3 linked regions of the Saccharomyces cerevisiae S288C genome follow. Changing the gene in region 1 together with any one later gene gives a genetic interaction. Each region holds a gene or a part of one and is shown on either strand. Other genes may lie near its edges. The genes, in order: PAU10, ATG20 and GIS4.

The links.
Region 2: mutations in PAU10 (region 1) and ATG20 together harm fitness more than expected from each alone (negative genetic interaction), as found in Saccharomyces cerevisiae (2 studies listed by BioGRID).
Region 3: mutations in PAU10 (region 1) and GIS4 together harm fitness more than expected from each alone (negative genetic interaction), as found in Saccharomyces cerevisiae (2 studies listed by BioGRID).

The regions. Positions count from the first base shown.
Region 1 is NC_001136.10:1,520,759-1,530,274, reverse strand, and holds PAU10 (seripauperin PAU10), read right to left. Parts: upstream 7,027-9,516; coding exon 6,664-7,026; downstream 1-6,663. Other genes in the region: YRF1-1 (Y' element ATP-dependent helicase protein 1 copy 1), read right to left, coding at 1-3,954.
Region 2 is NC_001136.10:252,126-264,324, forward strand, and holds ATG20 (Atg20p), read right to left. Parts: upstream 6,431-12,199; coding exon 4,508-6,430; downstream 1-4,507. Other genes in the region: NUP84 (Nup84p), read left to right, coding at 1-1,621; IWR1 (Iwr1p), read right to left, coding at 1,870-2,849, 2,920-3,001; YDL114W (short-chain dehydrogenase/reductase), read left to right, coding at 3,479-4,405; TRM3 (tRNA (guanosine(18)-2'-O)-methyltransferase), read left to right, coding at 6,790-11,100; exosome non-catalytic core subunit RRP42, read right to left, coding at 11,188-11,985. UniProt on the Saccharomyces cerevisiae protein: Required for cytoplasm to vacuole transport (Cvt), pexophagy and mitophagy. Also involved in endoplasmic reticulum-specific autophagic process and is essential for the survival of cells subjected to severe ER stress.
Region 3 is NC_001145.3:253,552-260,247, forward strand, and holds GIS4 (Gis4p), read right to left. Parts: upstream 4,866-6,696; coding exon 2,541-4,865; downstream 1-2,540. Other genes in the region: DNA-binding transcription factor YAP1, read left to right, coding at 297-2,249; TRM12 (tRNA(Phe) (4-demethylwyosine(37)-C(7)) aminocarboxypropyltransferase), read left to right, coding at 6,670-6,696.

The sequences.
Region 1 (9,516 bases):
GGTAGTAGCACTAGTCCTGACGTTGGTGCTGGCAGTGGTAGTAGCATTAGTGCTGGAGTTGGTACTTTCAGTGGTAATCGCACTAGTCCTGACGTTGATGCTGGCAGTGGTAGTAGCACTAGTCCTGACGTTGGTGCTGGCAGTGGTAGTAGCATTAGTGCTGGAGTTGGTAGTCGCATTGGTACTGGCATTAGCACTACCATGAATGCACGTGTCGCTGTCCTCATCACTGCTGCAATACTTTCTGCACCTGTCACTGCTATTGCTCTCCTGGAAGCTAGACGGTAACGCAATGATCGACATGGAAGCTGTCGCCTGTTTTTCAGCCAATCTGTCCATTCTTTCTATCAGTTCCACTGTGTCAGCAGACAGGTCTGTCCTGGAGCCACAGCATCCAACATGCTGGCCCTTTTTTCCTTTCTTTGATTCAAGTCCATAGAACTCGCGTACCTGTTCGGTTATACAGCCTTCCTTAATCGGTGGTAATTCACCCTTACGATTCCTTGCCGCCCAACTGTTTTTTCTAGATAATAGATAACAGAGGCCCCCATCTCTTAGTCTCCCTACGCCTTGAATGAGCTCAATAATATTAAGTCTATTATCAAGCATGATCACCATCATCAATTGCTTAATGTCAATTCCTTCAGTCACTAATTTCGTTCCGATGAGAACTCGCATGCTACCGTCAGTGACAAACTCCTTTGTGCGAGACACCTTTTCTGCAGCACCCAGCTTCCCGTGTATCCATACCACCCTAAAATACTTTCTCCAAGAGCAGGCCAATTCTTCCACTTCGTTGGTTGTGCTTGCAACTACAATGGCCTTCGACTCTGGTTCAATTTCAAAGAGGGCTAAAAGAAGCTTCAGTGCTTCTTCGGGCTGTGATTCCACTTTCTTCCAAATTTTATGAACATGCCCTAAAGGCACCTCGGATTTCTCCTTGATTAGATTAAACATCCGTGTTGGATAGCTGGATAGACCTCTGCTGAGATCTTCCGACCGTTTGAGCTCGTTGATGTCCATCGACTTCTTGGCCAGTCCCGTAAGCCCAATACGCTGCAACGCAGCATCAGCTACAGCCTCAGGTGCTGTGCCGCTCAAAAAGATTGCTTTCTCAAAAGCGTCAAAATCAAGGTTAGTTATGCCCCCAAATTGCGACTGCCGGTAGACCTCCGTTTCAAAGTTGTGAAACTCATCTACAATGAGGTAACCCAATTTTACGTTGTTGGTCCTAAAGGTGCACTCAACAATATTCTCCCACGCAGCTATCCTGTCTGTGAAATTAGTGCTAGCAAGATCATCGTAGATCCCCACGTATAAATCAGTAACGCCATCGCAACCTTCTTCAATAAAGTTTCTTACAGGGGCCACATTCAAGCAACCGCATCGGCTCAACCTGATCATGCAATTAGCAAGCAACACTGTGTACGGTACAAACAGAAACGACACATATTTCACGTCGCCCTTAGACGCCAGTGCTATCAAGGGGAGATGAAATAACTCCGTCTTACCATAGCCCGGTGGGGCCTGTACTGCCACAGAGGGTGTGTCTGCCATGTATATTTCATGACATAAGCGCAACTGATGCAAGTCCCTGAATTCAAAGGAGCTGCCAAAGAGTTTCTGGCCTGCGACGAGGATATCGTTTGTACTCTTGGGCTCTCGGGGCCTTTTTCGCGTTACTCTTGAAATTTTTTGATCATGATCTGAACTCGCCGCCTCACCTGCCACTACGTCTTCCGCATTCCGAGTACTAGAGAATGAACAATGGTAGTCGCTTTCAAGGCCTAACCATTGAATCCAGCGCTCGGAAGCTCGTTCCTGCAATAAAGTGGCGGTCGTCCCACTGACACTAGTTAACGAAAAGGAATCCACACCGTAAATATTTCGCCCTGTTTGAACGGAATGATTGGCCATGAGTTCACTCGTCGCCGACTCGTACAAATCTGTTTCAAATCTGCTACCTACGCAGTGCCGTCCTAGGGCAATCAACCCCTGACGCATCTCCCGAAAATTCAGCTTCTGAGGTGCATTCTTCGGAAGTTCCCTCATGTACTGCCGAAAAGTTGCGTATTCAACCAGACAGCCCTTCGCGGTATTCAGAAACATGTAGGAATACAAAACTATCCTCGAAATGTCTCGATTTGTTACTTGATCTGGATCCTCAAATCCCACCACATCCATCCAAGGATCATGATTAAAAGCGTCATAACTGTTACCAAGCGCACATATTTGCATTTGCCTTAGCACAGTGACAAAATAAAACACGTAATCTGAAGTGAGTCCGTCAAGCGTCTTAAGTCGAGGCTCCGATGAACCGTTCTTGTTGTAATCAGTGTACAGTTGGATGCGTCTTGTTGTATCATCGACGTATACGTTGCGCTGAGGACCGGCAAAAGCGAGTAGCTGAAGCTCTGGATAACGGTAAGGGTATCCTACGGCAAAATGGACCATCCACATAAGTGGCACCGTAAGCTCGTCAATTGCAACAGTGACTTTATTTTTAAGAGCCGCGGTCATTTTGTTAGTATCTCTTCTCAACTTGGGCAGCACAATTTCACGATATTTAACAGGTATCATTTGAAGAAAAGAATCGTTTTCCAGATACTCGTCAATTCCTCGCTTTGGCTCTCTGAACAAAACTTCTCGATTACGCAAAATGAGGCTGGCAATATCAACCACTGTAGGCATATAAAAGCAGTTGTTCAACTCTCCCCAAAGGTTATCGAACTGAGCCTTGCATGCAAAGTAAAAGCCGCGGACATACTCGCGATTAAAAAGTTTTCCACATACTGATATACCATCAGAAGAAGGTACCAAAGTTATTCTATAAGAGTCCTTCAGCGTGGTTTCCTGCGCTACTTCGTGGTACAGAATTTTGATCCATTTCCACATTGCAACGCCGTTGGTGTCATCAAATATATCTAAATCCCTTGCAGTACAAGCACAAGACGACACCAATAAAGCTTTCACGGCATCTAGTGTTTTTCTGAGTCTTCGTGGAGTGTTAGGACTACGCAACTTACATACTTTCAAGCCATGCTCGTCCACAGAGGGAATAATGGGTTCTTCATTCGTAATAGATCGATCCTCTTCGTCACCAGCGCCACCACGGGGACCCGCCCCGAAATTGAGCGCACATGCTCGCAAGATAATATGCAAAATATCACCCAATCGGTCTTTTTTGTTCATCATATCGTTACATATCTGTGAAAAGTACTTTATCTCAATGGGTTTACGTGGGCATAGATCACGCTTCAGCCGCTCTGTGTCGACTTTCTTTTCGCCAGGTAAACTTGCTTGGTATGCAGAAAAAATCGATAGCTCATCTACGTGTAGTAACAAGAACATGTAGGGTGCCAAATTGTACCCATATTTCCTTATGGTGCTTTTCTGAAGACTCCTTACAATAGGTGCGCCAGAAACAAAGTCAGTGAAAGTACGCATCGTAGAGCTGTCGTTCGGCCTGGCACTCGCTATTTCGTGACAACGTTCCAGGACACGGAAACTCAACTCATTATAGTATCCTCTGTTGAGGTAAAAAAGAGAAAGGGTATCGTAATCCTTTCTATTGAATTTCAAAGTATGCACTTGAAACAACGTGTAGACCATCAAGTTGATTTTCTTGGGAATAAGATACTTTGAAGGGATTGGTCCGCCCTGGAAATCTGGTTCGTCTTCAACAAATGTCAGGAACTTTTGTACATTTTTCCCGACCATGACGGAAATGACAATTTTTTCAAAAGACCTTTTCCTATCCATTGCACCAGTTCTGAATTTTACCACTTTGATTAGGCCAGACTTTTCGTCTTCGTAGAATGACCGCACTTCCGTGGGGATCGATTCAAATAAAGTTATTGAGGGACAATGTACCAAGTCGTTTTTGTTATTTAGAGCCGACTCAAACTCGTCAAAGTTTGCTTTTTCAAACTTACGCCTATCGGAAACTTTCATTTTATTTTTGTAAGTTTCGAAATTAACAATAGTATGTTGATTGTTATGCTTTTTGACAAGAAATCCATCAATATAAACAAAAGATTGTCCAGTTTCCGTCTTATCATCATCTAAGAATGTAATAATTAAGCTACTCTATTGAGAAGAAGCAGAATCTGCGCTATGCAGGTGCAAATCTCCAGCAGCAGCAAAGAAAATTCAGTTAATAAGAAATCTCACTAAGATAAGCGACTGTCTGTCCCAACATAGAAAACAGAAGGATGTCTCATTCATCGCTTGATTTCCGGCCTGCAAAAATAAAGTAGTCGGTACGTACTTTCGTTTTCAATTTCCATGGTGCACAGTATCTTAACTATCTGCTTAGTCGAGGAGAACCAGGATTCTGTTCGTTGCTCAGCCGCTTCGTGGATATTCTCTTGGATACTTTAAATATGGACCTACGCTTAGCCTGCGCTTAGCCTACAACTTCTTCCGCTCTCGAAAAGACCAATATAATAGAAAGTTATAAATTACATTTCCTTATTAGGTATACGACCTCGCGCTTCGAAGTAGAGGAGCCCTTTTTGGCGTACCTACATATGGCGCGTCAGACAGACAAACTTCCCCCAAAAATGTATTACCCCGCCGAATAAGAAAACAGACCCATTCACCCACGACGTATCAAGTTACTTCCTTGGTGCAATGTCCCACTATAAAAAAATTCCTTGACGCTAGATCGTTGGACTAAAATCTGCGTCACAATCGCCTAAACAGGAAATATTGCCTATTTTCGTACAAGGTTACTTCCTAGATGCTATATGTCCCTACGGCCTTGTCTAACACCATCCAGCATGCAATACAGTGACATATATATACACACCACACCACACCCACACACACCACACCACACCCACCACACCCACACCACACCCACACCCACACCACACCCACACACCCACACACCCACACCAGAGAGAAGCCTAAGCCTAAGACTAAGACAAGCCAAGCCTGACCAACCTGTCTCTCAAATTACCCTCCATTACCCTACCTCCCCACTCGTTACCCTGACTCATTCAACTATACCACCCCAACCACCATCCATCTCCCTGTGTACTACCACCAACCGACCGTCCACCATAACCGTTACCCTCCAATTACCCATATCCAACTCCACTACCACTTACCCTACCATCTCCCATCTACTACTCACCATACTATTGTTCTACCCACCACTATTGAAACGCTAACAAATGATCGTAAATAATACACACATACTTACTCTACCACTCTAATCCCACCACCACATGCCATACTCACCTTCACTTGTATACTGATATGCCATACGCACACGGATGCTACAGTATATATCATCTCAAACTTACCCTACTCTCACATTCCACTCCACTCCATGGCCCATCTCTCACTAAATCAGTACAAATGCACTCACATCATTATACACGGCACTTGCCTCAGCGGTCTATACCCTGTGCCATTTACCCATAACGCCCATGATTATCCACATTTTAATATCTATATCTCATTCGGCGGCCCCAAATATTGTAAAACTGCTCTTAATACATACGTTATACCGCTTTTACACCGTATACTAACCACTCAATTTATATACACTTATGCCAATATTACAGAAAAATCACCACCAAAATCACCTAAACATAAAAATATTCTATCCTTCAACAATAATACATAAACATATTGACTTGTGGTAGCAACACTATCATGGTATCACTAACGTAAAAGTTCCTTAATATTGCAATTTGCTTGAACGGATGCCATTTCAGGATATTTCTTACTTACACAGACCTTACATTAGAATACTATGCCACCTCACTGTCGTAACACTCTCTATTCACTGAGCTATAATACGGTAGTGTGTTCACACTCATGCGGGTGCTATGATACAATGGCATCCTATTTCCATTCCCATATGCTAACCGCAATATCCTAAAAGGATAACTGATGCATCTTTAATCTTGTATGTGACACTACTCATACGAAGAGACTATATCTGAACAAGACGATACGGTGATAGGTACGTTGTTTTTGTAGAGTTATAACGAAACTTCAAATAACCCTACTATATTATAACTTATCAGCGGCGTATACTTAAACGGATATTACGATATTGTCTCATCTCACTTCATCTTACCACCCTCTATCTTAGTTTTGGTAGAACACTAACCCCTCAGCTTTATTTCTAGTTACAGTTACAAAAAACTATCCCAAACCATAAATCTTAATATTTTAGGTGTCAAAAAATGAGGATCTCCAAATGAGAGTTTGGTACCATGACTTGTAACTCGCACTGCCCTGATCTGCAGTCTTGTTCTTAGAAGTGACGCATATTCTATACGGCCCGACGCGACGCGCCAAAAAATGAAAAAAGAAGCAGCGACACATTTTTATGGAAAGACAAAGTGCTGCGAAGTCATACGTTTCCAATTTCATTATTGTTTATTGGAAATACTCTGTTAGCTTTATTACCGTCCACGCTTTTTCTACAATAGTGTAAAAGTTTCTTTCTTATGTTCATCGTATTCATAAAATGCTTCACGAACACTGTCATTGATCAAATAGGTTTATAATATTAATATACATTTATATAATCTACGGTATTTATATCATCAAAAAAAAGTAGTTTTTTATTTATTTTATTTTGTTCGTTCATTTTCAATGTCTATGGAAACCCGTTCGTAAAATTGGCGTTTGTCTCTAGTTTGCGATAGTGTAGATACCGACCTTGGATAGAGCACTGGAGATGGCTGGCTTTAATCTGCTGGAGTACCATGGAACACCGGTGATCATTCTGGTCACTTGGTCTGGGGCAATACCAGTCAACATGGTGGTGAAGTCACCGTAGTTGAAAACGGCTTCAGCAACTTCAACTGGGTAGGTTTCCGTTGGGTGGGCGGCTTGGAACATGTAGTATTGGGCCAAGTGAGCTCTGATATCAGAGACGTAGACACCCAATTCAACCAAGTTGACTCTTTCGTCAGATTGAGCTAGAGTGGTGGTTGCGGAAGCAGTAGCAGCGATGGCAGCGACACCAGCGGCGATTGAAGTTAATTTGACCATTGTATTTGTTTTGTTTTTTAGTGCTGATATAAGCCCTACTAGGAAGAAAAAAATGACTGCATATTCACAAAGACAGGCGGTCAAGTCTGCTCTATTTATACAAATTCCTTCACCAGCTGGTGCTGCCCAAACGAGCCACTGACTGACACTCTTTTCTCACCTCAAGATCCTACATATTTCATCTAACACACCTTATCCACCGTAACTATAGAAATGCACCTGTCCTTGAACGATTCGTGAATTCGTCACAAACTTCGTATATGAAGATATGTTTTGCGGCGCCAATGTGTATTCGTATGCGTGCAATGTAAGATCGACGTTATAGGGGCGCCATGTGCCTTCGAAGAACCCTTTTACGTGCCTGTCATATTTCTTTTTCAAGGACCCTCGTTCGGAAGCTATTGTCTTAGCCTATATTAGTATGCTCTAAACGATTGCCGCGGGATAATGTTACAGTTTCTTTTCCCAAGCTGAAGTGAAATAGCAATGATGTACTGAGAGTCGTACCTACCCGTGGAAGCTTACGATGCCGTTCACTATCACTAAGGCATTCGAAATTAGATACCACAATCAAGAATGAATGCGATATATAAACGAGGTAGCTACAGTTAGCTGCACATGTTTCTCGAATAGAGTTAATTGATGTTAGGGTGAATTGAATCATGTGCCAAGGTTTTGTGTAATGAAACATCTTCGATACCCGGGTACCATTTTTCTTGTTAAAAAAAAAAAAGAAAGAAAAGAAAAGAGTACAGAGGCCAGTGGATGGCGCTAATATTTTTTATTTTACGTTTTGAATCTTCTGTTGAATAATTTCATCTATGTGCTTGGTTCTTGCAACTGTTAAACACTTATACCTAGTAAATATTCTGTGGCAGGGGTTGGTAGTGCCTCCTGAATTTATGGGCGCAGTTTAATGCTCAATAACTAGGCAACGCATTTTTTCTGAATCTAAAATGCTATTTAAGTATCGCTCAAAAGAAAACTACAAAATTAGCCCTGTTAAAGAAAAATTCCTCATTCTTGTACATATCCTGCCCAAACAAGCTTCTGTTCTTTCTGTTGGCACTCTCAACGCATTAATCAGCACCACTGCCTTGCTTACCTGTGTTCCATTCTCATATGGAATATCACTAGACTGGAGAATTTCCTCTCGATAGAAAAAAACTGGTTCCACAAGGCAAGGAAGCCTGAGGGTCCGGTGGACCAGTGGAAGTAAGATAGTAGTTAAACAAAATAACATGCAATTAAATATTTTCCTTTAATTTTTAAGTCAGTGTGACCCAATAAGAATAGCTTTAATTTTTTACTTCTTTTGGTACCTAATATTTCTACTTAAAATACTTCCGATGGAGACGCATAACTTGTACTTTTGTCAAGGAAAAGATATAATTAGCACTTGAGCAAGCAATACTATCATTTTTTTTTTTGAGACATTACTTCAAGTTGACTCTTTTGAAACAGATCTTTTCTCCAACTTACTCACGAACATTGCCTAAAAGACAACTAATTTCTCGTCCAAAGCTGATAAAAGATGAATATGGATTCAGCATAAGCGGATTAAAGTAGCAATATCTGCTTAAGTTGACTTCGCTATTACTCTCACGGGTGTAACACTATTCTGTTTCACGAATGGCGCTTACGATTTTTCAAAATTACCTTGGAATGTGTCACGTTGGGCATTTTTAATTATTGTGCTGCATAAAGGTGCCTATTTGGCAAGTTTCTGTGCGAAAAACACTAGTATTGAATGTTTTCGTGATGCTTTATTGACACGTGAGAAGGGAAACTTTTTTTAATACGATAGCACATATATTAACCACATGAAGGCACTTGCATCATCTGCTTAAAGCAGATTAGAGGTCGTATTTCTAACCTTTAAAGGTACATTCTGTTTGAATCATGAATATATGTAGTTGCGTAAGTTGTTTAAGACTCTAGAGCCAACGAATTTCTGCTTTTGAATCATTACGGAATCTTAGAGTGTTATACGACATTATTAAATACAGCAACAATGGCCAGTCGCACAATTTGATTTCTAAGTTACAATAAATGGACTGTAAAAATTCACACAAAAGACTTTCTTGCCCTCCTTCTTTCTTGATTTGTTCAAGCCTCTTTTATTTGCATATACTTTTTGTTTATGTTCTATAGCCTAAATTGTAATCCACTCTATCTATTTTGGGTGCCGCAGCGAACATGCATGCGATCGTACATTTTGACTATTATGGTAAAGAGTAGGTAACGCGATGCAGAAAAGAAAATTAACAGTAAAGTGTGTAAAACGACAGAATCGATAATACGTTAATTTTCTGAGAGAGAAGAAATTGTTTCTTTTCTTTTCGGAAAATTTGTTTGTAAAGGGATATGATATAATACAGGCCCCTGCGAGCTTTGTCACAAGGCCCGTTTCCATTCTTTTTATTTCATCGAAAGGTTCGAAGAACACTTTTCCACTATATAAGCATACCTGTACTCCCTTATTTAATC
Region 2 (12,199 bases), 1.3 Mb from region 1:
AATTTTGGCCGGTGCGATTGATGAAGCATTAGAAGAAGCTAAACTTTCCGACAATATTTCAATTTGTATGATCCTGTGTGGGATACAAGAGTACTTAAACCCTGTCATTGATACGCAAATTGCAAACGAATTCAATACCCAGCAAGGTATCAAGAAGCACTCTTTGTGGAGAAGAACAGTTTACAGCCTTTCGCAGCAGGCCGGTTTGGACCCTTATGAAAGGGCGATATACAGCTATTTGAGTGGCGCTATTCCCAACCAAGAAGTTCTGCAATATTCGGATTGGGAGTCTGATCTGCACATACACTTAAATCAAATTTTACAAACTGAAATTGAAAATTATCTTTTGGAAAACAATCAAGTAGGTACTGATGAACTGATTTTACCATTACCTTCACACGCGCTAACTGTACAAGAGGTGCTTAATAGAGTGGCTTCAAGGCATCCCTCAGAAAGTGAACATCCAATCAGAGTTTTAATGGCATCTGTCATACTAGATTCTTTGCCATCAGTTATTCATTCATCCGTGGAAATGTTGCTTGATGTCGTCAAGGGAACCGAAGCTAGTAACGATATTATAGATAAGCCTTATCTTCTGAGGATAGTTACACATTTAGCCATTTGCCTTGATATAATTAATCCAGGTTCTGTTGAAGAGGTTGATAAGTCCAAGCTCATTACTACGTATATCAGTCTTCTGAAATTGCAAGGCCTTTATGAAAATATTCCAATATATGCTACTTTCCTGAATGAGTCAGACTGCTTAGAGGCATGCTCTTTCATATTGTCTTCTTTAGAGGACCCCCAAGTAAGGAAAAAGCAAATTGAGACAATAAACTTTCTAAGATTACCTGCCTCAAATATTTTGAGAAGAACCACACAGCGTGTTTTCGATGAAACCGAACAAGAATATTCACCATCTAACGAAATTTCCATATCTTTCGATGTAAACAACATTGATATGCACTTAATATATGGCGTGGAATGGCTTATTGAAGGGAAGCTTTATGTGGACGCTGTCCACTCTATCATTGCCTTATCGAGGAGATTTTTGTTAAATGGCCGCGTAAAGGCTCTCGAACAATTTATGGAGAGAAATAATATTGGAGAAATATGCAAGAATTATGAATTAGAGAAAATAGCCGATAACATATCAAAGGATGAAAATGAAGATCAGTTTTTGGAAGAAATAACTCAATATGAGCATTTGATAAAGGGCATAAGAGAATATGAAGAATGGCAAAAATCCGTTAGCTTGTTAAGCTCTGAATCGAACATTCCTACTTTAATAGAGAAATTGCAAGGTTTTTCAAAGGATACATTTGAATTGATCAAGACATTTTTAGTAGATTTAACTTCCTCTAATTTCGCGGATTCGGCAGATTATGAAATCCTGTATGAGATTAGAGCCCTATATACTCCATTTCTACTGATGGAATTGCATAAAAAGTTAGTGGAAGCCGCAAAGTTGTTAAAGATCCCAAAATTTATTTCGGAAGCCCTGGCATTTACCTCATTGGTCGCTAATGAGAACGACAAGATTTATTTATTATTCCAATCTAGTGGAAAGTTAAAAGAGTATCTGGATCTCGTTGCTCGCACAGCAACCCTTTCGAACTGATCAATTAATGTATTGCAGAATAAGTTTATATTTTAAGTAAACAGCAATAATTTTATGCATTTCTTCTATCTATTTCAGAAGTAATTGACGTGATTTTTTATAGTTTTGCTTTGAATCTTTGTGTTTCCACACCGGAGAAAAAAAAGTTCATGAAGTGAAAAAGCGGTTAAACATGAATTTTCTACTATCTAAAGATAAAATTACAGATGCAGTTACTTACATACATTGAACAGTTTCTGACGGCAAATTTAGCTTCTATTAATTTTTTTCTGTAGCTGATGAAAAATTCTGTCCCTATGATGCGCCAATGGGTCATCAACATCCGTCGGAAAAAATTCATTTCTAGGGTATTCAATATCATCTCCTTCATCAGAATCATCTTCGTTATCACTTATCTCTATTTCACCTTCTTGGCCATCCAAGTCAATGAAATTCGAGGAATTTATGGATTTCAAGACATCACTTTTTCCTCCAAGCCTGTTAAAAAGATCCCCGTACTCTTCCTCCACATCGTGGTACCCATTAGATCCCTGAATTTTATCGTCATTCCAAGAGGAAAACCTGCTCTTATTAACCCCTATAACAATCTCTTCACCCAATGCAGCTATATCCTCTCCTTCGCTACCAAATAGAATAGATCTATCATCATCTTCATCCTCCGGATAATCATTTTGGTAATAGTTTTCGTCATTAGAATCCTCATCGTCTGAACGGGCTTCATTGGGATCACTTTCTTCATCAAGAGCCAAATCTATATGCTCAATAATTTTCACAAACCCTATATTTTTCTCGTTGTTATATCTAGCAACCTCATCGTCATGAATTTTCTCCAAATGGTAGATGTCAAAAACGTAATCTAAACTGGGTAGTGATGCAATTTTTGCAGAATCCCCAGTAAAATATTTCCTACTTGGTTTTTTTCTTTCTGTCTTTTCTACACCTTTATTCAACTTTAAATAGTCATTCACCATTTGATTGATCTCTGGCGGTAACCCATCGTCATCTACAGTACTTCCTTCTGCTGCAAGCCGCTGTTGTGATTTTTCATCATCTGAGTCTCTACGACTTTTTTTTCTTTGTTCCAATACAAAATGTCGATGATCTTCATGAGCCAGTTTTAAGAGTGGCGTAGAAGACTCTTGCTCGGATTGATAGCTTTCAGAGCTCACAGTCTTTGATAATTTAAATATGAACTTCTGCTTCTTCACTCTTTTCCCCTCATCAATTACTGAATTGTCCCAGATGAACTTAGTTAGTCAAACGCATTTTTGTTATATCGGTAGAATAACAACACATACATAATGCCTGCACAGAATCCTCATCCCTTCTTCTCTTTACTCTGATAAACTCAGGTGCCGTTGTGGTACTAATAGTGCTCATTCCCGAAATCTTGTATGCCTACCTCAACAAAAGCTATACCTCAGAGAGCAGTTTTATATACCATCTCTTGTTCTCATCAATAACTTGTCTTGAGCATTACACAATTTAAATCCCCTGTGCCGACACAAACAAGAGATAACCCGGAATCAATATTATCTGATTGGGCTCCTAAATATCGCATCTGTGGACTTGAATCCACATGCTGCGAACTTATTTGAAGCAACAATTACTTCTGTTGGAAGCGTGGTAGTGCCAAATCAGACTTGCTCTTTAGTTTTCTTATGTTAACGCTTTACTGCCTTTTTCTTCTATATTTTTGAACGTCAATATGTAGCGGGCGTCAGCAGAGGAACAGAATTTGTGACACTTCTTGAATGAACATTTCTCATATCTGAAACCGCATCATCAAAAGGACACCTCAATAGAGATTCAGTGACATATTTAACATAGTTTTATGGGTAAGAAATATTATTAATTATGGTACGCAAGAATAAAATAAATAGAGCGAGTGGAACTACAAAACACCTCAAGGATTTTCCATCAGTCATCCTAAGTCTGCCCAGCTACAACCCTTCCATCCTTTCTAAAAATGCAACTGCACTAATAACCGGTGGTTCTAGTGGACTCGGATTTGAACTTGCAAAGGAACTTTCCAGAAGAATTAATAAAGTTATTGTGGCAGATATTCAATCATTTCCTACTTTTGCTCAGGTAGAATATAATAACATTTTCTACTATCAATGCGACATAACAAGTCTAGATGAAATTAAAAATTTGAAAAAAGCTATTGAAAGAGATCATGGCAACATTAATATAATTATAAATAATGCTGGTGTTGCTCACATCAAAAAGTTAGAACATATGACAAACAAGGAGGTAGAACAATTGATCGACATAAACTTAATAGGTGCTTACCGAATCATCAGTACATTTGCAGAAGATATGATAGACAATAGGGAAGGCTTTATAATTAACATTGCTTCAGTCCTCGGAGAACTGACTCCTGCAAGGCTGACATCGTATGGTGCATCAAAAGGAGCAATGATTGGTTTTCACAAGTGTATGAGCAGGCATTTCAGAAGTTTGTCCACGGAATGTAATAAAACTGGAATAAAAACACTACTGGTGTGCCCGGGAAAAATCAAAACTAATATGTTTATTGATGTCCCTACACCATCTAAGTTATTGGCTCCTGACATCATACCTTCCCAACTGGCACTAGCGATAATCTCTGCGATGGAGCATAATCATCTGCAAACACTAAATGCCCCATATTATGTGAACCTAGTTCCCTTTTTCAAAACTTTGAGTTGGCCATATAGGCATCTCTTAAAACATTTCAGTGGAATGGACCATGTAACGTCAACCAGCCCGCGAGCAATAAATCCGAAGAGAAGTGCATAATATTTTAGTCTATTTAATACATTTGACGTTATTTGATCTTCACGTTGTTTATATATATATATATCAAGTATGCTATAACGCTAAAAAAAAATGCTCATAATACTATGCAAAATCTTGATGTCTTTTGACTTCTTTCCAAATTTCTAAATTTTGACGGGCATAATTTCTCATATATCTGGAATAATGCTTTAAAATTTCTGATAAATCTACTTCCCTTTCTTTAGAAAATTTAGGTAGCTGGTCATTTTTGATGACTTTTGAAATGACCTCCAAATCATTCTCAGTAACTTCCAATGATTCAGACAGTTGTTCAATTTCTTTCTTCAAATTGATACTTGCGGTATGCGGATCTGTTTCTTGATACTTCACAGAATCTTTTACCATTGATGCCAATTTGTTAAATCCATTGAATAGTTTGCCACCATATGATTTCCCACCGCTACCTGTATTATTATTAGGGCGTTCCAGATTAATAGTATGACTTTTAGACATTTCGTTGTCAATTATTTTGTCAACATCCTTATATTCATTGTTTTGCGCTTCCAGCTTCTCCAACTGTGCTCTTTTGGAATTCAGAGACTTTTTAATCATTTCATTTTGCAGGTATTTCAATTTTCTGTATTTGATCAATTCTCTTGCAGAAGTTGCCATATGAACAGATTCATTTAAAGGCTCATTTATATTGTAGTATAGTCTTCCAACTAATTTTTCTAAAGAAATCGAGGACCCCGAAAAGGCATTGCTTAAGTAAGAAAGCTGTTCGGCCAATTCCCCAACTTGAGCCTGTTCATGGGCAAACTGTGCAAATACCTCACCGATTTCATTGTAATCCGATTTCAAATCGTGATAAGTCTTCGTGGTTCGTCTATTATACTTATAAATCCCGTTATCTAACAAGTTCTCATATTGCTTGTAATCCTGTTCAATATTAGTAAACGACTTACTTCTTTCCTTATCCATTTTTTTGTCGTTGGACTCCTTATTCAACAATAACTGTGACGAGGAGCCCGGTATTGGTAACATGGCATGAATTCTAGTGGTGTTAGTGGGATCTAGTGGATTACACTGGAGGATGCTCTTCGGTAAAGATGAAAAAGTGGACGAACTGTTAACAAATTCATGCCAATTATGGTTATTAGGATCCAAAAAATCGGTAATTATAGATGTTTTTGTGATTTCTTCGTTCGTCAAAAGTTTGTTCAAGAACTCAGTGAGCATTCTTATCCTATGCCGTATTAACTTTTCATCACTATTATTGACCGACGCATGTATCACAGACAATGATAGATCTACTGAACCAGAACCTTCTGAGGGCAGCAAATACTTTGAACTCGAACCAGTTATTGACTTACCATAATTCTTTATTGACTGCTTTTCTGGAATCGGCGGTATCAACGTCATAGGAAACAATCTTATCAAGATACTTCTCAAACTCTCGAAATCGCTGTAACGTCTCTGAACGGTAGAATTTTCAAACTGAATAACATAGGCGATGTAGGCTCTTCCTTGACCTTCGGAAACTCTTTTCGCTTCAAGTATGTGTATCCTAGCGGACTTCTTTCTATTACTTACAGAAGGTTCTTCTGACGCAGAGGTCTCTCCGTTCATGGAGTTAATACTTCCACTAAGACTTGTTCTACATGTTTCTGCATTCGATTCTTGGTTTAAAGGCAATAATCCCTCAGAGTCATCCTCGTAATCTTCATTCGGGTTCTTTAGGTTATGGCTTCTCATACCGGGTATTTCTAATAAAGCTGATTTTGTGAATCCTGTTGGCCCCTCCTCCATGAATGGGTTGTCTTTTTCTAACAGGGCTGTGTGTACTAACTCAGTTTCTACTTTGTTATTGTCCCCCTTTCCAACCTTACCCTTTTTTGGGCTCTTTTTTGGCGATCCAACTCCATTCTTAGAAATTTCTGCCTCTGCCACATACTCAGTTGTCCCATGAGGTGGTTCAGCCTTTCCTGTATTCCGAGTTTCCGAATTCAATTTAGCATTTTCTTGGACATCATTTAAGTCTGACATTGTGTGCTGTAGAAGACAACTTTTCTAGATGGTATGTTCAATTGCACCACCAGTATTCGAGCTAGTCATCTCTTCATTTTGGAGATGACTTGCTGTAAATCGATAAATATTGGCTTACTCAATAGCCATATCTTAAAGGGGGCACAATGGGTGAGTTGTCGGGTAAGGGAATGTAGATCACGTGAATGAAAATTCAAGTGTTTTTCGAAAAGTTTCACCATGGCGATGAGCAAGATTGAAACAGCACTATTGTAACTATATAATTGCTAGTAAGCAAATAAGCCAAGCCTTATTAAAATCCGGTGAAAAGAATTGTTTAACGAACGTTACAAACTCTATACCTTTTTTTTACCAGCAAAATGGTTGGAGGTGCTCTCATCTGCAAATATTTACCACGCGAAGAGCAACTAAAGCTTATATCAGACTTGATTCAGAATGACAGCTTAGAAGAGGTGCTGGAGTTGATTGAAACTTCGCCACTGGATATAACGACGGACAGCAACATTGAAACACCAATCTTTGAAAAAATTACTGAGCAGGTCATTGCGTATGCTAGTATAGACGGTGAAGCCAGGGAAATGTTTCGCTCTTCGAGGGCTGAAATGAACAAGGCGCTAAGAACTTCTGCACAATTACTATGTTGTTTACCCAGTGTATGGCATAAATTTCAGGTGTGGATGAGCTACCGGTTAAATGACATCATTAGCGAAAACTATAAACATCTCTTCAATGACAACTTTGGAAAAAAGATTGTACAACCATTTTTCGATTCTTTTGCTGAGGAACAAAACGCTAATATCAAGCATGAAAATCTGCACTTAGATATCCTTAGCCTGCTTCACTACTTAGAAGTTGTATATTTATTTGACGAATGTAAGAATGGTATATCGTCCAAATGCCTAGATTTTATCATTGTTCCATTGTTAGGCTGTAATTCGGAAGAGATTGCTGATTCCTGCTCCAAGTTAATGAGATGGCATATCAAATATTTATCGAAATGCTGCAATACCGATAGTAACTTTGATAAGCTCATTTGGACATTTATCAAACAATTGTACGCTGAAGGCTCCCAACAAGCTTGGAAGCAAAAGAACAGTTTATCTTTTCTCCTAAGATTCCTTTTAGCAGCAGAGTTGTCTCCTGAACTTATTACTTATATAAAGACCGATGCTTATTGGAGGCACATTCAAACAGAGCTGGATAATGATGTGCACGAACACAGAAAATTGGCACTCTCAATTCTTAAATTAACAATTCAAAAACTGTCATCTCATGGTATAACATTGCAAACAACATTTTATAAATGCAATGATCTAGCAAATATCGAGATGCTGGGTAGCTGGAAGAAATTCACCACCTTATATGAAATGATTGCTCTGGACACATCATTGAATCAAATACAAGCGGCCAAACAAGATATAATAAAAATTTTTGATAACGAGCATTTACACCATAGTTGGGGCCTTATCTTGCTTTCTACGGGATTGAAATCATCAATGGAGAGTGTCAGAAAATACATGATGACGTTAATGTTCTCGATTACAAATATGTCAGCATTCTCTTCAAACTTGCCATTATTGACAAAAACTCTTCTTCCAGCTGCAATGTCCGCTCATTATTTTGATGTAAAAGGTGTCAGTTGTCCCCATGGTGAAAAACTTTCATTATTTGTCAATAACTTACTTTCCCAAACAACAGAAGGCATATCAGATATATTATTTGAAATTTTGAAATTATTGGTGGAAAAAGGGACCTCTTTTGACCCTTCTAGGATATACTTGTCCTACGGTATCTTAGTTTTCTTCCAGAATAACAAACAGAAAACAATCAACTCTGACCATTTGAGTCTGATCAGGAAATTGTACGATTTTGCAGCCGAAGAAGAGGTTCTCGAAACTACAATCCAAACAATTTACTTGAAGTTCTTACTGTACATTGATCCATCTGTCTCCGCATCTGAATTATTGTTTACATTAGTTTCACACATTAAGTTAAAGGGAGGGACATACAAATATGTTGAGCCTCTTTTTGAAGATTATAGGGATCTTGCCGTTTCTCACTTTGACGATTTGCAAGCGAAAGAAAACTTGACGACAAACATCGGAAAGGATACTATTTTTGACCTCTTAGCATCTATCATCTTCGATTTCAAGGATATTGATATTACTCCCGATTTTTTAATTGAAGTTGCGAAGTCGAAGCAAGATATACCCGTTTACACTTCAAAGGCAGTTACTTTTCTAACTCAGCTACTTTCAGGCGAACCTTCGAACGGTTATACCTATGAAAATGCAACCGCTTTGTTGTCTTACCCAAATTTTACAATATCTACATGGAAATCCATCAATGTGAATAATTTATTTAAGTCGGTAATGGAAAAATTTTCGCTTGATAAATTCAAGTTCTTTGCTGAAATTTACCAGAAGACTTATGAATGTAGGTTCGATACAATCGAGCTAAATTTTAATGACCTTCTGAGCCTATATGAAATGGTTAAAAAGTCTGCCAATCAGTGTTCAAGAGAGAGCTTTAAAGTGAAGGACAGCGCTTATTCTTCTTACTTTGAACTTTTAAATACCTTCCTGAAAACATACGCCTTAAATCGTGACTCTTCTGAAGGAAATGATGATGAGCTTCACATACTACTACGCTTAGTTGACGAGAATATTAACAAAGATAATGGGAATTATCTGGGGAACCTGGCAGTCTGTAAATTATTGTACTTTATCATAGATTCCTACATCCATTGCTCCACATCTGTTTCTGATGATGATATTTTCATAGTGAAATTCATTTTTGAGAAATTTTCGTTTATATGGGAATGTATTAATAGTGAAAGATTAGTTTTGAAGGAAAGGGATCTGCATTTGATGCTAATTAAGGGATTATTTCATCCTGTGATCCTGTACTTTGGATCAAATCAGTATATCGATACTTTGACCTCGAAGTTGGAGGAACATGCACAAACGATTATATCATTGAGTTATTCCAGAAGAAGCCTACTCCCTCTTCTCGGATCACAACTCAGAGTATTTATGAAGTTTTATGGGAAATTGTTAAGAGAAGATGTCAACTATTGGTGGTTGATTAACATTATAGTAGGTGTTTTCAAACAGCCGCAAATGGATGTCAACCTTTACAAGCTCAAACCTGTTATTTCCAGCCTATTTGACCACAAACTGAACAATTATTACATAAAAGGCGATGAACTTTATGAAAAGGTGTACGGACCCGACGAAATATTGGCTAGAGTATCTATTATTGATTCTATTTTATATGCAAATGATCAGTTGAAAATTCGATTAATCGAAAAAGTTACTGAAAAAACAAACGCACTTTATGCTATAAAGAGAACCGACGGTGCCGAAGCGTTACAGAGGTTGTTGCAGTGGCAATTGTTATTATTATCACTACTAACCACCAATGAAAAAAAATTAAGCGAAACTAGCATGATCAGAATTCTAAAGAGTATCGAGGATGAAAGTTCACCACTAGTAAGAGTATATAAAGAATGGTTCATTTCCTCAAAGGTTGTTGATTATTATAAAACTGGCAATCCAAAATTTGCTGAGGATTATCTCTTCTCATTGCTGGAGGATCATAGCAAACCGGTGTTTGTAGTTAGCGCAGAAAAAATATGCTTTATGGTGTTGAAAGATTTAAGAAACGACGAAAAGAAATATGGATTTACACAGTTACTAGACAGATTCATTTGCACGTTAGTTCCTAACGCAGCTTCAAACAAACCTCTGGTAAGGCATTTTTCTAATTCTCTAATAATTTCATTATGGCCTACATTCAAAGCCTACCTATCGGATCACACACTGAGAAACATCATTGAGAACTTATATTCCAATGCCAAAAAGACTCAAATATTTGGTCAATATCGTGCCGGGGATGCCAACATATGGGATCTGAAGGGTGATAGGAAATTAACGAACATGTTTGGTGGTGTGCTCAAAAAAGTTACCGACCATGATTGCCCGTACATTTCTGAGTCTGTTTTCGAAAAATATTTGCAGGAGAAAGATATTGTTCCTATAGGTACCGATGAAAGGTCCTTATGGCTTGATAAAAGAGACACCAATACGGAATCTGTTAACAACGCGAACATCTCCTGTGACACTTCTCCACTGCAAACAAAAAGTGGAGCTTGGGAAACCGTTCTGGATCTGGACAATAAAAAATCGAATGATGTCGTTACACGTTCTGAATTGATTGTGGTATCTTCATTAGTTGATAAGCCGCCAAACCTGGGAGGTATTTGTAGGTTATGTGATGTTTTAGGTGTGGGACTGCTTACTGTACAAGACATCAAAGTCAAAAACCATCCTCAATTTAAAAATGTTGCTGTGACTGCTGATAGATGGATGCCCATGGAGGAAGTTGCCCTAGATGAGATTGCAAGTTTCATGAAAGAGAAAAAGAAGGAAGGGTACACATTAATTGGGCTAGAGCAAACGGATAAATCAGTGAAGCTAGACAACAATTTCCAATTCCCTAAAAAATCATTGATCTTGCTAGGAACCGAAGCATTCGGTATTCCGGGGACTTTGTTAAGCGAATTGGATTTATGTTTAGAGATTCAACAATTTGGTGTGATCAGATCAATGAATATTCAAACGGCAACCGCAGTTATCGTTCATTCCTATACAGTTCAACACATGTAAGAATCAGGTTTCATTCCCACTTTTGTTAACCATGAAGTTTTTAGTATGTAAACTAATTTGTCTTTTTATCTAATTGTGACTATATTTTTATAAATTCTCCAGTGATCGTACTACGTCGGGGGCGTATTTCTCCACCATTGCAAGACCTTGCTTCAACAAATGAGGTTTAAAGCTTTTAACGTTTGAATCATTCAATGCTACTGATCTGATAGGTGATGTAATCTTACCATTAGACCAGGAAATGATTAGGCCATTATTGGCCACTTCGCTTTCGTTGGCTGCAGGGTCCAATAGCATATTGTTGCCTACAACGGCCAATATAAACACTAAAGGCGGATTAATGTCAAGCTTAACCATGTCGTAATCATGAAACGTAGGAAGTTCTTCCACCTCTAAGTCGTCAAAAGCTGAAATAAGTTTCGGTAGGTATGTGGAGTTCAACGCTGAATAAATAGCAAAGGATATTAAAGAAACTGGGTGTGAATGTGATGAAATGACCAGAACATCGACAAATATTTTGAAGCTGTACTTTTTTGTCAATTGCAACTTTGAGGAATCTACTCCGCTACCAGACTTCAAAACCTTGTTCAGTAAAGAAGTGATTGTCTCTACTACCAGCGCGTCATCTCTTTGGCCTGCGATATCTACATCGACCTGAAGTAGTTCATTCTCCACATGATGATCCACAACTTTGGACTTAATGCTCACGATACATTCACTTCCATCACTAGCTATAATTCTGGACGATCCATTGGAACTTGGTAGGAAGTCAGTAAATATTTCTATAGGTCTGAATTGATGAGGTAGTCTTCCATCGGGCCTAATTGAAGGCGTGCTTGCTAGTGAATCGTATAGGTACGACTTTTCGGCGACCGAAAGAGACATAAATGATTATTTCAACAGAATCTCAAACTGTCGTTGTGCTAGTCAAAAAGAATGCCTTTTGCCGTCTACAGACTATTAGTATCATTGTACTCCTTCACCATATAAGCTCTACGTTTCTTTTTTCTGAATATTAGAAAAAAATTTCGCCAACTAGGGTTCAAAATAATAGACTAGGGCACGGAAGAAAAGCACACCCTAGGGCTTTCGGAGATAA
Region 3 (6,696 bases), on another chromosome or scaffold:
AACAATTTGGGCCCCGCCAAAGCGCCGTCTTTGTCATGGGAACCGGAAACCCTCCGATGAAGAGTAGGAGGGTGGCAACTGATGGATGCGTAAGGTCTTAAGAGATACATTTGCTTAATAGTCTTCCGTTTACCGATTAAGCACAGTACCTTTACGTTATATATAGGATTGGTGTTTAGCTTTTTTTCCTGAGCCCCTGGTTGACTTGTGCATGAACACGAGCCATTTTTAGTTTGTTTAAGGGAAGTTTTTTGCCACCCAAAACGTTTAAAGAAGGAAAAGTTGTTTCTTAAACCATGAGTGTGTCTACCGCCAAGAGGTCGCTGGATGTCGTTTCTCCGGGTTCATTAGCGGAGTTTGAGGGTTCAAAATCTCGTCACGATGAAATAGAAAATGAACATAGACGTACTGGTACACGTGATGGCGAGGATAGCGAGCAACCGAAGAAGAAGGGTAGCAAAACTAGCAAAAAGCAAGATTTGGATCCTGAAACTAAGCAGAAGAGGACTGCCCAAAATCGGGCCGCTCAAAGAGCTTTTAGGGAACGTAAGGAGAGGAAGATGAAGGAATTGGAGAAGAAGGTACAAAGTTTAGAGAGTATTCAGCAGCAAAATGAAGTGGAAGCTACTTTTTTGAGGGACCAGTTAATCACTCTGGTGAATGAGTTAAAAAAATATAGACCAGAGACAAGAAATGACTCAAAAGTGCTGGAATATTTAGCAAGGCGAGATCCTAATTTGCATTTTTCAAAAAATAACGTTAACCACAGCAATAGCGAGCCAATTGACACACCCAATGATGACATACAAGAAAATGTTAAACAAAAGATGAATTTCACGTTTCAATATCCGCTTGATAACGACAACGACAACGACAACAGTAAAAATGTGGGGAAACAATTACCTTCACCAAATGATCCAAGTCATTCGGCTCCTATGCCTATAAATCAGACACAAAAGAAATTAAGTGACGCTACAGATTCCTCCAGCGCTACTTTGGATTCCCTTTCAAATAGTAACGATGTTCTTAATAACACACCAAACTCCTCCACTTCGATGGATTGGTTAGATAATGTAATATATACTAACAGGTTTGTGTCAGGTGATGATGGCAGCAATAGTAAAACTAAGAATTTAGACAGTAATATGTTTTCTAATGACTTTAATTTTGAAAACCAATTTGATGAACAAGTTTCGGAGTTTTGTTCGAAAATGAACCAGGTATGTGGAACAAGGCAATGTCCCATTCCCAAGAAACCCATCTCGGCTCTTGATAAAGAAGTTTTCGCGTCATCTTCTATACTAAGTTCAAATTCTCCTGCTTTAACAAATACTTGGGAATCACATTCTAATATTACAGATAATACTCCTGCTAATGTCATTGCTACTGATGCTACTAAATATGAAAATTCCTTCTCCGGTTTTGGCCGACTTGGTTTCGATATGAGTGCCAATCATTACGTCGTGAATGATAATAGCACTGGTAGCACTGATAGCACTGGTAGCACTGGCAATAAGAACAAAAAGAACAATAATAATAGCGATGATGTACTCCCATTCATATCCGAGTCACCGTTTGATATGAACCAAGTTACTAATTTTTTTAGTCCGGGATCTACCGGCATCGGCAATAATGCTGCCTCTAACACCAATCCCAGCCTACTGCAAAGCAGCAAAGAGGATATACCTTTTATCAACGCAAATCTGGCTTTCCCAGACGACAATTCAACTAATATTCAATTACAACCTTTCTCTGAATCTCAATCTCAAAATAAGTTTGACTACGACATGTTTTTTAGAGATTCATCGAAGGAAGGTAACAATTTATTTGGAGAGTTTTTAGAGGATGACGATGATGACAAAAAAGCCGCTAATATGTCAGACGATGAGTCAAGTTTAATCAAGAACCAGTTAATTAACGAAGAACCAGAGCTTCCGAAACAATATCTACAATCGGTACCAGGAAATGAAAGCGAAATCTCACAAAAAAATGGCAGTAGTTTACAGAATGCTGACAAAATCAATAATGGCAATGATAACGATAATGATAATGATGTCGTTCCATCTAAGGAAGGCTCTTTACTAAGGTGTTCGGAAATTTGGGATAGAATAACAACACATCCGAAATACTCAGATATTGATGTCGATGGTTTATGTTCCGAGCTAATGGCAAAGGCAAAATGTTCAGAAAGAGGGGTTGTCATCAATGCAGAAGACGTTCAATTAGCTTTGAATAAGCATATGAACTAAAGCGGGAACTTTATGGAAAACTGGGTAACCGAAAGAACTTTTTCTATAATGTTACAATTAAACTTTTTTAACTTACCTTGCTTCGCCTTTTCGCCGAAAGTAGGTAGATTGTATCACCTCGGTATTTTTTTATGTACACAACCTATACTTTAAATATATTTAGACTATGTATGAATTCTCTGTATCACCTTCAATGTCAATATAGAAACTGGTAAGTGCAATAGTACCAATAATGATTATAATTATAATACAAGTATATATATATATCTATATATAGTGGTAAAGTATTCTTTACATGATGGCACAACGCTGAGATTTATCCGTACCTGCAGAACCACTGTTTTTATGATTCTTAAACCTATTCATCTGGAATTTCCAACGCTTTCTATCCTTGTTAGTGGCATGAGTAGGGTTATCTATGCCGCTTAAAGACTTTAGTAATGTAGGTAAAGGCAAACTTTTGGACCTTTCCACGGCACTCATAGCATTGATGGAACTCTTTATCTTTTTCAACTCATTTTTGGAATTACTTTCATTGTTACCCTTGGAATTAGGTTTGTGAGAATTTTTTGTCTTCAAAGAATGGCTAAAATTCGAGGAAGTCGTATTAGAGTTCGACAGTTGTGTCATTGGATGAGGTTCACTTGATAAAACTGTACTTTCACCTGTTTTAGAGTTATCCAACTCGTTACTATTACTTTTATCGATTTTTGTAACAGAATTATGTCTATTGAATGCCCATTCCCCGATACTGTTTACGGTTCTAATAGAACGATGTGCTGTAGTAACGTTAGATTCCATTCTAGTTGGTATGTACATTTGTGGGCCTGACTGTTCTGATAAAGAAGCATCGTCACCATCGTCTTCATCGTCTTCATCGTCAATATAGTCGTTGTAACCGTTATTATATGCAGTCGGGAAATATTGTTGCGGGTCGTTAGTTAATGATAACTCAGAATCTAGAGGTTGCTCTTTTGATATTCCTTCCCTATTATCATAATTGGGATTTTTGAATTCTTCTTCAACCTGTTTGCCGGAGTTTGTCACAATAACCATTGTGTAAAATAAAATTTTTGGAAATGATCTCTTGATATCTAGCAAATCTTGAAGTGTTAGAATTTGTAAATTATTCATTGAAAAATTGGAATCATACAGCAACCAATCATCGGTAACGCTTGCCATTGTAGGTTTATTGTTTGACTGTCTAATCGCAGTAAAAATTTCTTTGGTGTCTGGATCCTGAATTAATATAGATTGCAAAACTAGCCTAAAATACCCTAGAGAATCACAAATTGAGATTGACGGTAGAATGGATAGTACTGAGTAATCGGAAGAAGAAAGATCTTCATCATCATAAACCTCTTCTCCATCGTCCTCTCCTGATCCATACCCTTGGGCGTCATAGTTATGATGAATTAAATTATCCTCCTCCTCTGGGGTTGTCGAAGTAGTTAAATTGTCTATAGAACTCGTTATACTTGACAATTCAGAGACATAGGTGGCATTCGTGTGATCGATGTTTTCACGTTTTGGATTACCTCGGCTGCTACTGCTTAAACTGTAGTGGGCACTACTACTATTACTGCTACTACTATAGCTAGTGTAGCTGACCGAACTTTCCATGCTATAACTTGCTTGATCGATACTCTCGTCACCTAGATCATGTGAGACTCTGCTATAATGATCCTCAACTTCATCCTGACCACTTTCATCCTCGCGCCTGGCAGTAGTTAAACTCAGGTCTTGTCCGGGATATGTGGATGATACGTCTTCGCCAGCAAAACTATCTATTGACATTATCTCGGAATGTGACGGTGTATAGTCTTCATTAGTGTATGATGGAAAAATTTTGGGTAGTCTATTAGGCTTTGAATCTACTGTTCGCGAATGAGAAAAATTTAGGACTATAGAACTTGTGGCATCCTCTTCATCAACTTCGTTTTCATTATCTTGAGGCGTATCATTATTATTGCTTTGACTATTCACGGATGTAACGTTTATATCAACTGTGTCCGGAGATGTCAAAGTCCTCGTATTCGTATTAGTTCGGGTAGCTGTTGAAGTCTGGGTATTTATATTTGACCACTGATCATCCGAAACGTTTGATTCTAGCTTCCCGTTTGAAGCTTTTGATGAAGATATTGTGGGTGGTGGTATTGAATTTCTATTGTTATTGTTTAAAGCCTTGGAATTTTTTTGAACTTGCCAACTTGTACTCGCAAATTCTAAAAAGGTAGGGTCTTGGAAATTGTTGAGGTTGTCCGTCAATAGGTAATGATTTTCATGATTGTAGCAGTGGGAGTGAGTTAATTTTGAGATTTGAATGTGTTCTAATTTTTCCAGATGAAAGTAATCTTTGAGGAAGATTTCCAATATGGAGATATCTTCATGAACATTCTCTGGGATGGAAACTAACAAAATCTTCTTGTTTGGCCTGGCCGAAATATTGTTATCACCATAAAAATGACTATTCAGAAATCTTTTTAACAGAGTGTATTTTAATTGATTGCCTATAAGTTCTTCAAAATCGCCTAATCTGAGGTTTGTTAAGTACCACGACCACAAACCATTGTCATCATTGTCAAAATAGTCGCCCACTCTAACGGATTTTTGCATTATATTTAAGTAACAGAGTGCTTTTTGATGGTTTTTGTTAACCGTCTTTCGAGCAGTTGAAGGATGAGAGTGAGTGTTAATGAGGGGTTATTTCTGCAAAACTTCTGCCGATATATTCTGCACTTAGTTCCCGCTGTTGTTCAGCCTTCACGTTCCTTAGCTACACAAGTCAGTTAAATCTGGTCCTGCCAAAGTGAATAAGTTGAAGATATTTATCTAGCTTGCGATGGAAAAAACTACAATAGGAAAAAAACTAATTAAAAAAAGAAAAAAAAAGAGAAGAATTCAATGTTTAGGGATATAAATTCGATATAAAGGTTTAAAGTAAATAAATTTCGTGTATTACTATGCAAGTAATGTTTCTGCCTGCACCGGCTTCGTAGCTGGTGGAGTGCGATAGCGATGATACTACCTGAAAACACAGAGGAAGGCCGTCAGCCCCGCGCTAGGAACGATGAGGAGAAACCAGTTGGCGAATCGCCACATGCCATTTACGTAAAAGATGCTGTGTAACCTAACAGAAATAATCGATGGTGTGAACTAAAGTCCTAGGATGCACATAAGCAAGCGAAAAAGTGAAAACAACATTTCCAGAGCTAAAAAAATGCATTTGCCGATCCGAAATAATCTCAAAACGAAAAAATGATTATGGACGTAAACAAAATTACCGCATTTCGCTCTCCTATTATCATAACAAGCATGAGCGCAAAACTTAAAAATCCATCAAGAGGCAAAAAATAACGACAACTGCAGGACTCGAACCTGCGCGGGCAAAGCCCAAAAGATTTCTAATCTTTCGCCTTAACCACTCGGCCAAGTTGCCATACTAACTTGATTATTTGTGTATTCTGTTTTCTTGTGATTCCTTCTGGTTACATAATTACATTGTCTATATTCATATTTGATTCTAACAGCAGGTAATATTGGTCTATCGGCTACTCGTTCAAAAAATTAAAATCGTTATCAATTATATTCCATAGTATAGGTTGTTAAAAGATGGAATTAATTAAAGTAGAGTAGTAGAACAGGGATCACAGTGTTATTAGATTTTGGAGCAACTGATGTGTGTGAGTAATATATAAGGATGAATCGAATGAAAGTATTATGAGAAAAGGAATCATCGTTGTGTAAAGTTGTTCATTTCGTATTTCTGGGTACTGTGAATGAGATGAACTTGCTGATAATCGTTGGCATACTATTATTTGGAACGGTAATATTTTTGCGAATACAAAGTATACTGTAGTTTTTCCCCGAGGATTTACGAACCCACGAGAAGTGATCAATATTTCTACACAGTAGCATTATGATCTCTCTTTATTCGCTTATGTGTCGCCATTCACTACCCTATCATAATTCGGATCCTTGTGTTTCAGCTCCCATTAAGTTTGACGACCGTTCGTCATTTATTTATATTCTTACACCGTACACGATAATATACTTATGCGAACTCTAGTCGGTCGATGGTGATTAATTTTCATTTCAATATTTACTTATATCGGCGATAAGTCTTAAGCATGGAATTTATAGTCATTCTGTCACCCCTCCGAAACAGAAATGAATTTGTAAATGTATTCACTAAGTTTAGCCGTTTTAGACATTTGAATGTCGTTCGTCATCAGCGCGGCCAATATTGTTTACATGAAGAAAATGTTGTTAATATAGGCACTCTATTTGGTTTCATTATGAGAAGTATCTTGCTGCTTGATGTCTTCGCACTTTTTTTTTCCAGATTTTTCAGGTGATGAGGTGGAGCTGGAGGATTTTACAATATTACTCAAATAATTTGTAGACAACGTTAGCGTGAATGAGTGACGAAACCATGCCTGTAGAA